Linked DNA regions of Arabidopsis thaliana. Each later gene encodes a partner of the first gene's protein in a complex. Each region holds a gene or a part of one and is shown on either strand. Other genes may lie near its edges.

The links.
Region 2: AT5G40340 (region 1) and AT5G27650 share a complex: the UniProt entries of both Arabidopsis thaliana proteins name them as parts of the PRC2 (polycomb repressive complex 2) complex.
Region 3: AT5G40340 (region 1) and AT5G02950 share a complex: the UniProt entries of both Arabidopsis thaliana proteins name them as parts of the PRC2 (polycomb repressive complex 2) complex.

What each region holds. Positions count from the first base shown.
Region 1 is NC_003076.8:16,130,872-16,137,372, reverse strand, and holds AT5G40340 (Tudor/PWWP/MBT superfamily protein), read left to right. Parts: upstream 1-1,979; 5' UTR 1,980-2,513; intron 2,514-2,680; 5' UTR 2,681-2,692; coding exon 2,693-5,719; 3' UTR 5,720-5,976; downstream 5,977-6,501. UniProt on the Arabidopsis thaliana protein: Together with PDP1, PDP2 and PDP6, interacts with MSI4/FVE and MSI5 to suppress FLC, MAF4 and MAF5 expression by regulating the function of the PRC2 complex and modulating H3K27me3 level, thereby promoting flowering.
Region 2 is NC_003076.8:9,783,512-9,789,895, reverse strand, and holds AT5G27650 (Tudor/PWWP/MBT superfamily protein), read right to left. Parts: upstream 4,490-6,384; 5' UTR 4,386-4,489; coding exon 3,236-4,385; intron 2,871-3,235; coding exon 802-2,870; 3' UTR 542-801; downstream 1-541. Other genes in the region: TIF3B1 (translation initiation factor 3B1), read left to right, coding at 5,137-5,246, 5,497-5,734, 5,832-6,056, 6,330-6,384. UniProt on the Arabidopsis thaliana protein: Together with PDP2, PDP3 and PDP6, interacts with MSI4/FVE and MSI5 to suppress FLC, MAF4 and MAF5 expression by regulating the function of the PRC2 complex and modulating H3K27me3 level, thereby promoting flowering.
Region 3 is NC_003076.8:688,963-693,640, reverse strand, and holds AT5G02950 (Tudor/PWWP/MBT superfamily protein), read right to left. Parts: upstream 2,957-4,678; 5' UTR 2,833-2,956; exon of another isoform or gene 2,710-2,832; 5' UTR 2,689-2,709; coding exon 790-2,688; 3' UTR 542-789; downstream 1-541. Other genes in the region: AT5G02960 (Ribosomal protein S12/S23 family protein), read left to right, coding at 6-132, 221-361; AT5G02940 (ion channel POLLUX-like protein, putative (DUF1012)), read left to right, coding at 3,967-4,052. UniProt on the Arabidopsis thaliana protein: May influence gene expression by regulating the function of the PRC2 complex and modulating H3K27me3 level.

The sequences.
Region 1 (6,501 bases):
CGTCTAGATTAACTTGAGCTTTAGCAATTCGCATGAAGAAATAAAATTTGATGGTTAATTTTTGATCCAAAAATCATCTGATTACTAAAAATAATAAAGAAGAATAATCGGACCGACAAGGATATTATTCGTGGACGACAAAAAGTTTGGCAAGGGAGTGAGTTCACTACAGTAAGACGGCATATGTATTTAAGGATTACCAAACTTTTTGCTTTAGCCAAGGAAGCTTTTTCTCAAGAGCCAAGAGGCACACTTGTAAAAATATATAATCAAATATATGTATATATCAAACTAAATCAATACATATCAAATGTTGTCCTTGCATATACACAAGTAATTTCACATATGTGATAGTGATAGTGGTAGAGATCATCATCTTAGTTGAGACTTAATTAAATATGAACAATCAAGTTCGCTATTGCATCTATATATGTTTTTGCCTTTATTTCTAATCATGTAGATTAAGATCATTTTTATGATATGCGTATAAATATTGTAGAAAAGATTAAGGTGCACAATCTAGATTTGGATAGATAGAAAAAGTAGAGGCATTGGTTTAGCTATCATATGTTCTCATCACATCAAGAGACTTGGATCTTAATTAATCAATGTTTCCATATTTACTGATAAATAAAAAAGTTATAAAGTAGACAAACCGTTGATATAATTTTTCACGTCCAAAGAGAGTACGTAGATCACCTCATGACCAGGTTGCTTTATAGTGTTTAGATTGTATAGCATTCATATTCTGACTGAATCTCTAGAACATATGCTCAAATCATTTCGTTTGGAGTTTTGACCCATCCTCAAATCATATTATATATGCATTCTATGCAAGTACAAATATGAACCATTACATTTTGTTGAATTAGGTTGCATGTCTTTTTAGTTTTGCCCACATGTTTTTCGTGTGAGAATTGTGAATTCCCCATGTGAATCATAAATGAAAAGATAACATGGTGGGTCGTTCACAACTTACAATTCGGAATTATTTTAAACGTGTCTGAATTCCCTTGGCACTGTAATGATCCGTCTGTTACGTTGCCTTGGGCCTTGGGCTTTGGAGATGGACTAATATTTACACAAGTTGGGTTCAAGGTCATTGAGCTTTCTTTCAAACTATGATTAAGTAGTGGGAAATATATGATTCATATATCACTATTACTTGGTATTACAGTTCTAATACAGATTATACAGTTGATTCATATTGGTTCGCCGTCGATACTACATATAATCATGTCATGAGAACGTGTTGTTCGTGTAAAATTAACACAACAAGAAAATTACGTTTAGATGTATCAAATGTTATCCTAACAGATTTCACATGTTATATAGTCTCAACGAAAAAAATTAAAACATTTAAACTGGGTCAAAAGATGTATTTAAGCGATTTTCTTATATGGTGTAACATAAGTTGACCAAAAAGATTGAATATGAATTAGTGTGAAGATTGATTCAATGACTAAATCTAGTTTAATCATAAAATCTAAACATTTATCTTTTTTTAATAAAACTCAAACCGATAAATAATTTTGTTTTAGTAACAAATTAGATTTTATAAGTAAATTAATTTTTTTATTATTATTAAATGTCAAATTTTAATTGAATAAAATAAAAAAAGTGAATATAAGGGTTCAACTCAAATATTTTTCAATTCAATATATATAACCAAGATTTTCGTTACCACTCCACTTAAGTAATGCAGTGAATGAAAAAGAAAAAATAATCAGTGTCTAAAATCAAAATACCGTTGGTCAGTTGAATAATGAAAAAGAAAAGATCTTTGATTTTCCTTTTACTTGGTAGATTCCTACTCTTTAGGATTGAGGTTTTAATAAAAGACTTTAATCAACAAGCACTAAATTTAAGATACTGGTGTTGTGTAATAATAAGTTTGGGCCGAGCAAAAAAAGAAAAGGACTGGGCCGAGAAACGGCAAATATTTGTGTCGTTTCAAATACCAAATTCAAAATCTCCATTCTTTTATTACTCTGCTTATTAGCCGTCTAAGCATATTACAGCTGTCAATCATCGAAAGCATGTGACGCGTCTCTCTTATTTCATCCCACTCGCGTTCATATACACGTGTTATCTACTCTCTATCCGATTTCCGCCACGTAAGAATCTAGACACTGATGTTCTTATACACATAGCGAGTAAGCTGTATTTTACACTCTCGTAGCTAGTCAGTTTATTGTGATAGCGACACGGCTGATTTAGGGAAATAAATTAAAAACGTTGTCTTATTCCTGGGGCAAAAAAAAGCAGATAAGTAAGCAAAAAAAAAAACTCATTAATTACGAAAGTACCCTTAAATTTCTCCGAAAGGAAATTTTTGCGCCGCGTTTCATCTTCTCTCAAATCAAAATCCAGAGAGAAAAAAAAGAGAGGATTTTTCTCATGAGATTCTGAGAGTGTCTTTGTTCTTCTTACAAAGAAGTGTTTTTTCTTGAAGATTCTTCGGTCGCTGTTCGAAAAGTTGTTGTTTCGTTTCTCTCGGAGCTCAAAATCAGGTAAAAAATTTGTTACTTTATATTTTCGTTTTTCTAGGTTTTTCGTAAGAGTTAACCTAATTTCAAAATTTGTTTTTTTGGGAGATATTGTTGGGTTTGTGTGTAAATAGTTAGGTTGATTTTTTTTTCTGATTTGTTTGTCGTTTTGTGATTTTTTTTTTCTACAGTCGGGAAGAAAAATGGAAATTGAAGTTGTTTTGGGAATCGGAGAAGATGCGGGACCTAAGCCTTGTTCTGCAGAGATTGAATCAGCTGAGAAAACCCTAAAAGATGATGGTGTTGTTCAAGAGAACGGTGTTAGGGTTTCCGACAACGGTGAGAAAAAGTCTGATGTTGTTGTTGATGTTGACGAGAAAAATGAGAAGAATTTGAACGAATCTGGAGTTATTGAAGATTGTGTTATGAATGGAGTTTCTTCCTTGCTCAAATTGAAGGAAGATGTGGAAGAAGAAGAAGAAGAAGAAGAAGAAGAAGAAGAGGAAGAAGAAGATGGCGAAGATGAAGAAGAAGAAGAAGAAGAAGAAGAAGAAGAAGAAGAAGAAGAGCATGGATACTGTGTAGGAGATTTTGTGTGGGGAAAAATTAAGAATCATCCATGGTGGCCAGGTCAGATTTATGATCCATCAGATGCTTCAGATTTGGCTTTGAAGATAAAGCAAAAAGGGAAATTGCTTGTGGCGTGTTTCGGAGACGGGACATTTGCTTGGTGCGGTGCGTCGCAGTTGAAACCGTTTGCAGAGAGTTTCAAAGAGTGTTCGAAAGTGAGTAATTCGCGGAGTTTTCTAGGTGCAGTGGAAGAGGCGGTTGAAGAAATTGGTAGACATATTGAGCGTGTATTGGTATGTGATTGTGCTGAGGAGAAGAAGCATGAGTTTGATAGTCCTTTAGTTAACAATGCTGGGATTAAAGAAGGTGTTTTGGTGCGTGATGTGAGACGGGAAATGATTTCGTCGTTGTTGATTGGTAAACATGGAGAGATTCTTAAAGATGTTAAGAGTTTTGCAGAGACTGTTAGTTTTAGTGGCTTGCTTGAGCTGGAGATATTGAAAAGGAAGGTATCTGCGTTTTATCGGTCTAATAGAGGATATGGTTTGACTGAGTATCATGAACCTCAATCAGTTCCAGGACTTGAAGACAAGAACAATGATGATGATGATGATGATGAAGAAAAGAATGTTAATGATGGGTTACAATGGCGTGCTAAACGGTCTAGAGTAGAAGAAGTAGCAGCTTTGGATCATGAAGAGTCGTCGTCTCTTCAGAGATCGTTAGAGAAGTGTTCTGGTTTTCCTGATCATAGGCTTCCCCACAGAAGGAAGGAGAAAAGCATTACTGAAATAATTGAGAAGGAGTCAGCTGCTAAGGTTAGGTTTGAGACAGAACCTGCGGATGGAGATGTAAAGTCAAATGTTAAGTCGGGTAGGAAGAAAACAAAACGCCATGATGAAGTTAATGGTGATCTTGAAAATGTAACTACTACTGCACTGTGGAGGAGAAGAAAGAGTGAAGTAGCTACAATTGAAGACGGTGGTAACAAGCAAGTGGTAGAAAGTAGCAAAGGCAAAACTTCGAGGAAGAAGAAGAAAATGGATGTGGATGATGGCGATGATGATGGGAGTGGAGACAAAGAAGAGTCTGAGGAAAAAGAGATTTCAGATCTGGAAATAAATATCGATTCAACTTCATTAGCTTCGCTGCGGAAAAAGGTAAGGTTTGATGATTCAGTCGTTGAAAGGAGTACTGAAAATGGCGAGACCGCTACACAAACATCAAAGAGAGAGAGGAAGAAGAGCAAGTATCTCTCGCCTGATTTCTTGTCAGATTTTTCACGGAAAGGAAGAAAAAAGAGTACAATCGAATCTGAATCTTCGAAAGTTTCAAGTCAGAGCCAAGTAGACGAGCGAGTGACTGATGCTAGTGATAGCCTCATGGAAGTGGAAGAAGATACGTTGGATAAACCTTGTGAACCATCATCTGATAATGGATTAGGTCAAGAAGAACTGTCTAGGGAACTTAGTAATGCCGTCGACTTTCTGAGGTTGGGAGCTACACCAAAGGAAATGCAGGATCTAATTCGTGTAGCTGCTCTTGGCACACAATATCCAAAAGACAGTAGCTCAAGAGACATGGTAAGAGAATTCATGACCATCTATAGAAGCTTCACATATCATGATGGAGCCAATCACAAGTTCTTAGGGAGCTATGATAGTTCGGATAAAGAAAAGGAAGAACTGAGTGAGATGGGTAAGCCTGTAACTAAGGGGAAAGAGAAGAAAGATAAGAAGGGTAAAGCAAAGCAGAAAGCAGAGGAGATAGAGGTAACTGGTAAAGAAGAGAATGAGACAGACAAGCATGGGAAAATGAAGAAAGAGCGAAAACGTAAGAAGTCTGAATCAAAGAAGGAAGGGGGTGAAGGAGAAGAAACCCAGAAAGAGGCTAATGAGTCAACAAAGAAAGAGAGAAAACGTAAGAAGTCTGAATCAAAGAAGCAATCAGATGGAGAAGAAGAAACTCAGAAAGAGCCAAGTGAGTCAACTAAAAAAGAGAGAAAACGTAAGAATCCTGAATCAAAGAAGAAGGCAGAAGCAGTTGAAGAAGAAGAAACCCGGAAAGAGTCTGTTGAATCAACCAAGAAAGAGAGAAAACGGAAGAAGCCTAAACACGACGAAGAAGAAGTCCCGAATGAGACTGAGAAACCCGAGAAGAAGAAGAAAAAGAAGAGAGAGGGAAAGTCTAAAAAGAAAGAAACTGAGACGGAATTTTCAGGAGCTGAGCTATATGTTACATTTGGTCCTGGTTCAAGTTTGCCTAAAAAGGAAGATCTGATTGAAATATATGAAAAATTTGGAGCTTTGGACAAAGAGAGAACTGATACGGTCGACAACAACTTCTCTGCCCATGTGGCTTTCTTGGATGTAGCTGATGGAGAAAAAGCCTTTGAATCCTCACTAGAGAAATGTCCGTTTACTTCTAATTCGACGGTGAAATTCAGACTCAAGTATCCAAATGAGAGAACAGAGGAGAAGAAAACTGAAGCTGAAGTTGCAGAGACGACAATGGAGGTGGAATATCTGAAGAAAAAGCTGGATGAGATGAAATTGTTACTTGATGGATGCGAAGGAGGAATGACTGAAGAAGTGAAAGTGAAACTTGAAGGTGAGATGGTAAATTTGTTGGAGAAAGTGATAGAGATGAGATCTTCTTAGGATTATGATTTTATGTTTTTATTTTGTTGGTTGAGAACTTTCAGGACAGGTTTTAGGATATTTATGGTTTCTGCAAAACATAACAAAAGTATTTTGAGAGGTTAATGTCTTGGTGATACTATGATCTTGTCGTAGGGTAGACAGAATTAGATCGATGTTCTATGTTTTTGTGTAGACTTTTTTAAAGTTTACCAACTTTGATACTAAACCCATTAGTGGGCTTTTGGTTTATCACTCTCTTGAAAGCCCACTAATTTTATTATATTACAAACAAAATTTTCAAAATCCTTTCGACGAGTATTGAATGTTTGATGAAGCCATACAAAGAGGGAGGTTGGAGATTTTTATTAGAAAGGGAGTCTCGTCGAGACTGAATCATTTACGTAATGCTAATTAGTGATCCAACAACATAAATGTTCTAAGACAATGAACAAATTCAACCATTTGATTGATCACAAAAAATGTATCCAGATAATGTATAAGAGTTAATTAAGATATTTGGCCAATTTCAAATTCAATTATCAAATTCAGAACATTAGGCTTAATCATGTTTGCTTGTTCATGTTTGCTTGTTCGTTTTTGCGTTAGTTCTCGGAGAAGCTGTAGACTTCTATCTTTGAGGTTTTGTGGACGGACCTTGAATAATCATGCTCGTGGCAACTAGGATGAGGATTCCAATACTTCGGTACTGCGGCAACAACGCAAATTTCCGAGCTTCGCGGACTCGGAATCGGTGTTTCTCCTCCTAACTTGGCCTTGATCACTCATCGGCGATCCTTTGC
Region 2 (6,384 bases), 6.3 Mb from region 1:
GAGACGACGACTGAGACAGTTTTGTAATGGAAACTTCACGATATTCAACCAAATGTGTTGAAATAGGATTTTAGCTTCATTTGAATTTCTTTATTTTGGTTTCATTTTTGGTCTCATGGTTCCTTTCTCGACCACTTTATAACGGAACTAAAAAGTGAGACGTAGCAAATTATATTCATTTAAAATTAATGTTCGTTTTTTGCGAATAAAGTAATACCAACAGGCAGGCTTTCCACCAAATCTAACCTTGTCCAGTTGGTTGTGTACTGGTTTAGGCCTCTACACTTCAGGACAAGAGTTCGACTCGTATTTGGTACCAAGTCGTGCCATCTCTTTCTCTCTCTCTCTTTCGCCTTCACAATCCAATATCCATGTCGATGTTGTTGTATTGAACTTAAAGAGAGGTAATAAAAATTACCTTTTTTTTGAATAAGATCAAAATTTTATATTTTTTTTACTGTAATCACAATTTCTTCCTATAGCTTTAATTTTCAACTTTGCTCAGCCATTTTGGGCAGGCCTAAATTTACACCAAGTAGATTAAGACCAAATGAGAATATATAACGTAACACAACAATGGAATTGGTTCCGCATAGTGCATCAAATATCAAAAGCATACAACTTCAAAAAATAATACACGAAATATAAAACAAGCCTGGGAGAGGGAGAGGGAGAGAGATTCATCATTATAAATTGTAATACATGATTTAAAGTTAACGAACCAAACTAATACCTAACATACAATATTATCACCAAAAACCAAACAAACACTCACATTTTCTCTCAACGGGCTTCGTTTTGTTACAAGGGATGATAAGGGACGTAGCCCAATAAGCCCGTGACGTTAGCCACTACTTCGTTGCATTTTGACAAAAGGTTGAGCATCTGGTGAGAGATGTCCCCAGCGCTAACCGCTGGGATCGGGCCACGGAAGTTTCTTGAAGGTGGCATTGGTGGTTCGACGTGGTCTACTGGTTTAATGGGAAGTTGTTGTGGTTTTGTGTATTGTGGAGGGAGAGGAAGAATTGGAGGCAATGTAGAAGGAGGAAGCTGTTGATGATGAACAACGTTTTGAAACTTCTTACTAACAAATTCCATTGGAACAGATGATGATGATGAAGAAGGTCCACTGTTTCTATTCAAGGTCATTGTGACCTGTGGTGGCTCGGTGTTTGCTTTACTCGAGTTTTCTTCACCACCTAACATGAATTTGACTCTTACGGCTGCGCGGTTACCGTTTCCATTGTTGCTACTACTGCTCGGGTCATCAACTGGTTTCTTCAAACAGGATTTGAGGTTGACGTTTGGTGGCGGTAATGTTGGTTGGTGAAGCGGTGGTGCTTGGTCCAACCACTGGCTCTGTGGTTCATCATCTTCCTTGGTGTTTTCTGGCTCACGAGGCTCGGCTTTAGGAGCATCCACATCACGGAGAAAGTACTTTACATTCACGTTTCCAAATAGAGTGTTGTTTCCTGTTGCATATCGAAAAGCAGTCTGGGCATCGGCTTTGTACAGAAAGACAACACGGCAGGTCGATGATTTCCAGAAAACCCTAATGGCGGATTGATCTAACAGCCCGAAGCGACCAAACCTCGCCTTTAGCAATGCGGCTGAAGGGAGAGATGTGCCAGGTGGGAATTTCATGACCAGCATTGTTGGCTCAACCACCTTAACTGATGGAGCTGTTTTCTTCCCGGTTTGACCTCTGGCTGGTTTTGCTTGTACCACCCTGCTTGGCTCTCTTATTGGTTTTATACTATCCTTTGCTTCTCGAATGATCTTCTTTTCAGAAGCCATTGATTTCAACTGATTAGTTTTCTTCAGCTTCTTAGCTGATGGGATTTCATCTTGACGATCAGAAGAGAGCCGTTTTTTTCCAGCTTTTGATGGGTCTTCGGTTCTCTTCACTGTCTTGACAGGTTTTGAGGGTTTTGTGTCTCTGGCATTTTCGACAGTAGCATCAGAGGAAGATACAGACAAGCTTTTCTGGTAATTAAGTGAACGGAAACGGAGAAAAAATTTCCTAGCAGTTCCAAAAGAAGCAACGGATAAACCGTGGAAAGGGTCAAGAGAGAGATCTTGCAGATGGCTCAACAGCTGCGGCACATCGGCTTCCATATAGGTTTGTAAATGCGCTGAACCAAGCTGGGACAATTTCTTGGCCCCAGCTTCCCCAGAATACAAATTTTTTCTCTTCACTGGATGGTCAGAATCAGGCTCTTTCTTCTTTTTCTTTTTCTTTTTTGGCTCTGAAGGAGGATTCTCCGAGCTCATTTCACTTGAAGATCGTTTAGCAACTTTGACTTTCTTGATTACAGACCCTGTGGAACTTTTCCCCTCAGATGCTGAGGTATGAGACTCAAGCAGAGGCTGGAGAGAACTTCCAGCTGATCCAAGATCTGTTCCAGCTTCTTCTTTAGGTTTAAGACTCGCCATAGCTTCAGATTTCCCATGCTCTGGAAGTACAGCAGCTCTTTCTTCCATTCTCTCCTTTGATTTTTCAGCTAGACCCTTTTCTTCATCAAGAGAGGGCTTTGAAGCTGAAAATTCTTTACCAGGAATAGCTGTATTTGAAGAGGCAAAATCCATGCTGACGATCCCAGACTTCTCATCTTTCATTGGAGTTTGAAGCGTCGGAGCTCTTCTCTGCAGCCCAAAATCCCCATCCAAAGATCCATCAATTCCCTGGATATGAGAAGCTTCTGAACTTGCTTCAATTTCGCCAAACTGAACAGACTTATCACCAGCTTCATCCCTTCGTTTGAGAAGATACTTGTCTTTTTTTTTAGAGACCTTAACCTTTGTGGGTTTTTTAGAGCTCTTAAGGTCACCTAGCGTTTCTGCTATGACCAGTGGGCCACTCAAGGGAGCTGGAAATAAGAGAAATTGAAACAACACATCACCCACCAAGAAAATGAACAATAAAGCAAACAAGGTAAATGTATGCGGGACTCTCCATAGTAGAAAGAGGCGCAGAATTGTTATCAGGCCACGTTTTCGAATGCACAGTTTAGCATCAATGAGACTTCACTATTCTTTCAAGCATGCTATGTAAAGAATTCAACTACAAAGATATAAATCCTAAAATCATGAGCACAGAGGATCTAAAAGTAAAACCCTAAAACCAAGTTACAGTATCTAATATCTATGTAACACATATGAAAGCTGTTTCAAGTCTACAACGAAAAAACCCATATACAAACAATAACATGATTTTCTGAAAAGTGGCTAATACCTCGAGGCGGTGCTCTATTATGAGGTTCCAGCGTACTCACTGAACTGCGGGGTGATTTTGTCCCAAAGGCCTGTGCATAAGTTTCATCAAACTCCTCAAACACTGACTTGCGGAAAGCAAAAACCACTGCTTTCTTCTTCATAAACTTTAAACTGTCTGGATCACACTCTTGAGGTGCTAACGCCAATTGCTTCACAAACGAAATGGTTTCAGCGGGTAAAAACTTATCCCTAGAATTCTTAATCTGATCAACAGAGTAAACGGCTTGAAGCTCGTAATCAGGCACATCAACAGCAAAGTAATCTTCCACATTACTAGGCCTAAAGTTATAAGGATTCCGACATTTACAAGTCAAACCAAGAGCTGACCTTCTACTCGCCTCATCCTTGGCTTCCTCCACAGCTCTCACAAAATGCTTCGAAACCGTCTGCTGTGATTTCTCCTCTAAATTCGGTTCGAAAGGAATAAGCTCAGCAGGATCAAACCAACCATAACTACTATCACCGAAAAACGCAACAAGAACATGATCAATCCTCCTCATACGACGAACAGAAGGAGACGCAAAAGCTTCATTGAATATATGACCAGGCCACCAAGGATGAGACTTTACCTTTCCCCAAACCAAATCTCCAACTTCAAACCCATAACTCAATGCCCTCGAAACTCCAGAACCCATTTTCTCACTTGCAACATAATCATCAAACTCAGATAAAAGAGATTTATAATCCGAAACTCCTTTTTTCTCTTCCTTCAAACCCAAATCTAATTCCTTCTCATCAGCTTCAGAACCAAGCTCACTAGATTGATCATCAGAGCCATCTTCTTCTTCTTCTTCTTCTTTAACCTCAGAACTCTCATCATCCTTATCAATTAAAACATCCTCGCTTTTAATCTCATCTTCCTCCTCACTCCCTACGACACCATCTTTCTCCGATCTCTCACTTTCGAGAACCCTAGCGTCATTTGTAACCGCCGAATCTAGCTCCATAGGTGAAGAAGCTTCAACATCATCATCAATGGCTTCGTGAACATCCCCGCTCGAATCAACTACAGTATCATCTGGAGTTACCTTAGGATCCTGAATCGAATCCGTTTGTTGAACAATCACAGCATCCTCGTTCATCACCGGGATTAATTTAGTTTTGTACATTACAAATCGATAAGAACCCTAGCAACAACAACAACGATCCTCCGATGAGAGATTATCCGAATTTGGTTCTCGAGGACACCAAATGAAAGAGACGGATTATTGTTAAAAAAAAAAAAAAGCTAATCGAGAGAAAGACAATAAATTAGATCTACTGATTACTATTGAATTGGGCTTACCCGGCCCATATAAATATTTATAAGCCCGTTTAAGGAACCGACGTCGTATGATCCAAAAAGACCTGAAAACAATCGCTCCTTCTTCCTCACCTTCAAGCGCCGTCTTCTTCTTTGTTTTTTGCTCTCGGCTGATCTCTGTATTGGGTACGTTTCTTATCTCGATTTCAGTGTTCATTTGTTTTTTTTGTCTTTTCTTATGTAGCTATGAGACAGGATCCAGAACGATGCAATAGATATAAGAGAGCCTTCAGGAAAATTTTGCCATTTTTCTCCATTTCACCTGTTGTTGGGTTCTAGATTAAATAAAACTAGAGTATAGTTAATAATTTCTATAGGCATGGTTTTAGATTTACATTATAGTGGGAGTGATGATTCAAAGTTTTAGTCTTTGAACATTTGGCCATGGTAGTTTGTTGTTTTAATACTTGTTTAGGGTTAACAAAAAACCTACTTTTAGATCTAAAGACTCAGATTTTTCACATTTATTTATCGACTTAAAGTTGGAATGTGTTAAAGACTGATAGCTCTCTCTATATGGCTTTCTTTGGCAGATTTTTGATATAAGGTTTGAAATCATGGAGGTCGTTGATATTGATGCCCGAGCTGCTAAGTTAGGGATTGATTGGTCTCAGGTTAATTTTGATTCCATCCAACTTCCTCCTGGAGAAGACTTTGGGATCGAGAGGTGAGATTTTCCTTTAGATCTCTGGTTGTTCATATACGGTCACTTCTATTTCTAATCTTCTTGTGTTTATACGATGGGATGATTTTATTCTAGGTTTTGCTATTGTATGTATGAAAATTTTGTGTATTTCGAATTGGTTTATCTCTTTCCTTGATGGTGCAAAGCTTATTATATTTATACATTTTATCTATGAACGTATGAAAAATGGAACTGATTCGTTATACACTTTTTTTTTCTGTGATGGTTGTAGTGATGATGAAGCTGTTTACCAGGATGACCAGTCTGAATTCGACACTGGATTCGGTAACATTATCGTGGTCGATCACCTCCCTGTTGTTCCCAAGGAGAAGTTTGAGAAACTTGAAGGTGTTGTCAAGAAAATTTACAACCAGTTAGGTGTGATTAAGGAAAATGGACTGTGGATGCCTGTTGATCCCGATACCAAGATGACATTGGGCTACTGTTTTATTGAGTTCAACACTCCTCAGGTTATTTATCTACTTGATTAGCTTAATCTCTGTTTTGTTGGATTCTGAAGCAATAATGTCGGCGTCATATGTTTCAATACTTTATTTCTCTTGTTAGAAAGGAGCCCAAACTAGGTTGTTCTTAATGGTTGAGTATTTCCTAAGAGTTTCTCTCAATGTCTGGGGCTCTTTGCAGGAAGCACAAAACGCTAAGGAAAAGTCTCATGGCTACAAGTTGGACAAGTCTCACATCTTTGCTGTAAACATGTTCGATGATTTTGACAGGTTGATGAATGTGAAGGAGGAGTGGGAGCCTCCTCAGGCCAGGCCCTACGTCCCTGGGGTATGTGTAGTTTTCATCATGTTACTCCCTGTACCTTGAATAATTTTCTTTGAATAACTTCCATTGTGTCTGTGTAATCACTTCTTTATTTTGGTAATTCGCTGATTTATTTTGTGTTTGCCTGCTGCGTTAGGGTTAGGATCTTTTTACGTAATTGATGTATACTAACTAATAACTATAATTTCATAACTCTTGTTTCATGTATATATTTTAATTCATTGCAGCCTTTTGTGGTGCTAATTGTCGTTACTTATATGGTGTTTGTTTTTTCAGGAAAATTTGCAAAAATGGCTTACTGATGAAAAAGCCCGAGACCAGCTAGTCATTC
Region 3 (4,678 bases), about 15 Mb from region 1:
TGCAGTGGTATTGAGGCTAAGCAGCCTAACTCTGCTATCCGTAAGTGTGCTAGAGTTCAGCTTATCAAGAATGGAAAGAAGATTGCTGCCTTTGTCCCCAATGATGGTTGTTTGAACTACATCGAGGAAAACGTAAGTCACATGAAATGACTATTCAATCATCACACTATGGATTAGTTTCATTCATATGCTGATACATTTCTTGTTTATGGTGTTGCAGGATGAGGTCTTGATTGCTGGATTTGGTCGTAAGGGTCACGCTGTGGGAGATATTCCCGGAGTTAGGTTCAAGGTCGTGAAGGTTTCTGGTGTTTCACTCTTGGCCCTCTTCAAGGAAAAGAAGGAGAAGCCAAGATCTTAAGCAACCCGTACAAAAAGCTTCAAGCTTTTGATATGGTTTTTGATAGTTCAGTTTAAGTCTTGTTCTGTTCTACTTTATGTTTCAAGAACTTGATTTTGTGTTACATTTTATGAGTTTTTGAATTAAGACATGATCGTTTAATGTTATTGGTGTTTAATCAATTTACTCTTTTAACTTATAAGCCTCATCTTCAGTTGCGACTAACTTTACTGTTATCATTGGTATTTCCAGTTTTGGTTTTGTATGTCATAAAGTTAAGAATTAGTCTCATCACACGAATGTTACTTTTATTTATCGAAAACCTACTCTCATCATAAATCCTAGGTTACGTTTATTTATCGAAAATCTACTCTCATCATAAGACCTAGCTGATGATATCTGATCAGACCCTAATCTCTGAAAGTTAAGAGATGCCGTGACTCAATCAGTCATGTTGTTTTTTTCCGTTTGGGGCAAACATACTCGAGTCTGTAACTTAGAAGAGAAGGTCCAAAGATGCTGTATTTCCCTGCGCTGCTAAAGGCAGTCTTTGCGTCTTCCCCTCTTTTGAACACAACTTTGGCTCTCTTACCCTTCATCGTGACCTTAGTCTTAGACTCATGGAGAGGACCGTAACGTTTAAATATCTCGTTCAGCTTTTCTTCAGATGGAACCGAACCTGAATCCGCAAAGTTGAGGACTAAAGCATAGGGTGGTAATGAATCTGCAGAACAGTCCTTGAGACCAATTTGCTCTTTCGAGCCTGAGCCAGTGATTTCTTTATTTGCAGGTAATATCTCTTCTTCTGCAGAGTCTTTCTTATCACAAGGTTCTGATGTCTCAGTGATACTTGCCTTCTTTGAGTCACCATTGAGTTTACTGCAAAACAGTTCATTAATGAACTTTTCAAAATCTTCATAATTCGAGGGGTCTATGTTGATTGAATCAGGTATTCCCGTTGAGGTATTGGCAGCGTGAAGGCTTGAGAGCATCTCATCAGGAGAAGAAATCTTTCTTTCAGCAAGCTCTTGATGTCTCGGCTTCTTAGTCTTCTCATTCTCAACTTCCGTAGATTTAGAAGCACGGCAAGGCTTAAGTGTAGGAGTTAAAGAATTCATCTCATTTTCCACTCCAGTTCCATGACACGGTTCAGCCGTCTTCTGCAGTTTATTAGTATCACCCACTGACAAAAGACTTTCCTCATTAGAGTGTTTAGACACTGAATCCTCCTTTTGCTGACTTTTCTTGATCCTTTTCTCAGACTTACCAGATTCCGAAGACTCAACCTTACGCTTCTTTTCAGAATGCGACTTACCATCCAATTTCTCAGTTGATCTGCTCCCACAGCGTTTCTTTACAGTCAAATCTGACAAAGTCTTCTCCTTTGTCTGTTCAGCATTATCTTTATAATCTGTCTTTCTCTTTTTGGCAGATATTCCTTCATCCATATTTACTTCTGGGAGAGAAGCCAGGGTCGCAGCAGATTCCACCGACCTTACAAATGTTTCATAGTCAATGAAGTGAGAATAGTCTTTCCATTGTTGAAAAGCCAATACCTGAGCTCGGTTAATCACAAATTGCAGCTTCTCAGTCGCATCATAGCAAGGAAAGCAAGCTAAATGCTTCATATAATCCACAAGTTTAGCAGGTTCAAAAGAGATTCCATCCGATAACTTGTCTCCACCGTATCTAACACTTGAGTCCTCACGAATTCCAGCATTGATTATGTTCTGAGTCTTGAGTTTGTTATAGGCTTCCTCTGAAACACAAGAGCAAGATAAACCAAACTCTACTCTCCTTGAAACCTCATCCAAAGCACAATCAATAGCATCACGAAACTCAGCGGAGTTACTCTGCTCCTGCATTTGAGAGAAATTCTGATGAAAAGGCTTTATCTGAGATGCATTATTCCAAGCAAATGTACAATCCCCAAAATACGCAACCAAGACATTTCCTTTCTTGAAGTGCCTCATCGCAGCTTTAGAGGCAACAGATTTATCAAAGACCAGTCCAGGCCACCATGGATAACTTCTTAGTTTAGCCCAAACCAAATCTGAGTCAAAAAGCTTCAGATTCTCTTTAGAAAATCCTTTCTTATCCTTGTTCTTAAGCAGATCTGAATCAGCATCAAAATCAACCCCGTTACAGAGACTATCCTTATCATCACGAGCAGAGACAAATACTTTTCGCTCAACTCCAGTGAGGTTCACTACCAAGTCCTGAGCTTGAAAGCTCATGGGATCAGCTAGGGTTTCAGATGTGTGAGCCATACCGTAGTCAAAACTCGACGCATTTATGGCAAAATCAGCGTTGGAGTCAGATTCGACTCCTTCTGGTTCCGTAGACATAACGAGCACCAACAAAAATCCCTAGACAACGAAGAAACAAAAAAAAGCAGAAATTGCTTCAGTATATGCTTCCATTAAAGCAAAAACAGTACATCATACGAGAGACGAAGAAAATAATCGGAGAGCAAAAAAGGTGGACAGAACCTCCGGTGGCGGTTACGGTTTCGCCGGCGACGAAAGCTTAGATTTTGGGTAATGAAGAAATAACAGAGTTTCTTTCGTTTTGAGGGGGTTTATGAGAGAGCTACGTGTACGTCACGAATTATTCCACGTGGCAGTACTTGATTTTGTCTCGACTCATCACAACCATACATTATTACATTGAGTGAGGTTCAAAATTTTCAAACTTTTGCTTTTCCCTCTTTATTTGAACTTGAATTTGACTTGTTTTTACTGATATTAAATAGAATAGAATTTTACTACAAGTAGATTAGAATTTTACTACAACTAGTTTATTTCTAAAGAATTAAATTTGTTAATTTTATGTTTAATGAGAACCAAATGTTTTCCTACAACATTAAGACACTTTTTTATAAGTTTTCTAAACTTGTTTAATAGTATGTTTTACTAAAAAGTGATATTTTGAAAAACCTCTTTTGGGGATATTTTTAAATACTCCTCATAGACTAACAAAATAATATATCAATTCATATATAAACACAATAACACCGTTTATTGTGTAAAGTGCTTAGCTCTCTCAATGGTCAAAAAATGCAAAATCCATTTTCTTGTTATGTCTTTGTCATTTTTATTGTTATGTCATGTGGCGTCTCAACATTGAGAGGATATTTTGGGAGCCAGTAACGTTCGAGATTCAAAATTGTGGATGAGATTTTAACGATTGAAACAAAAGTACTAAAAAATAGTCGTTTATTAGCACATGTACTCTTTTTTTTGTTTGGACAGCTATTAGCACATGTACTCTTATATGTATGTATGTATATAAAAACGTGAATAGTGAGTGGAATAAGAGAAAGTAGTTAAAATTCAAAGCGATAAGAGTACCATTTTGTTTTTATTATATTCTATTCTATGGACGCGATTCCTCTGCGTTGTTTACCTATTCAAATGAAGTTCTAAGCCAAAAAAAAAATTAGTCGATTTGTTTTTATGTTCATAACACCCCACGGGCTAACTAATATGGTCCAAAACAATATAACAACAACAAAATAATCACGCAAAAATCTAAAAAACCAGCCTTGTGTCCATACTCCACCCACATATATAAGGAGAGAAACAAAAAGAGCGTAAGATAAATCAAGGAGAAGATTAAGAAAGATGGTGGCTGTTCAGTTGTTTACCTGGAAGCCATTGATTCTACCTTCTCAAGCTTTGACAAGAGATCGATTAGCTTCTTTTCACAGGTTTTGTTTTTGTAATTTCTTTCTTATACTTGATATTTCTGAAAACAATTGCATGGTGGTGACTTTATCCATAAGTGATAAGATGATGATTGTGAAGTTTGTGATCCTCAGAAGATTTTGAGTGTTTTTGTTAGAAACAAGCTCTTTATTTCCAAACAACTGATACAGATACTTAAAGAACACGGTATTTATCATTTAAGCGATCAATACTAAGTAACTCCTCTCAACAAATTCTATATTCTAAAAGAAATGCCAATGCCTCTGTTTATTTCTGTGTCTTCTCTTCTTTTCTTTATAATCCGAACCCTCTAGTTCCGTCAGCGTCTTCTTCGTCCTTATCTTCAAAACTTGCTTGGGCATATATCACAGTTTATTTTTGTTGTTTCTTCTTCCGGTGAATTTTACTTCATGTTTTGCTTACAGTAAATGTAGCCAAGTTCAATGGTTTCGATTAGAAAATGTGACGGTTTTAGTTAGGAGCTCTGAATTTGGGTTTAGAGTTTAGTTTCAAATGGAATTTGGGTTTGTAAGATAAAGGTATATCGTAAATTGATTCAAAATCTGGAAATTGTCATTCAATCAAAGCTCATTGGGTTGTGATGTTTACAAGTTGTGTATCTCTGATT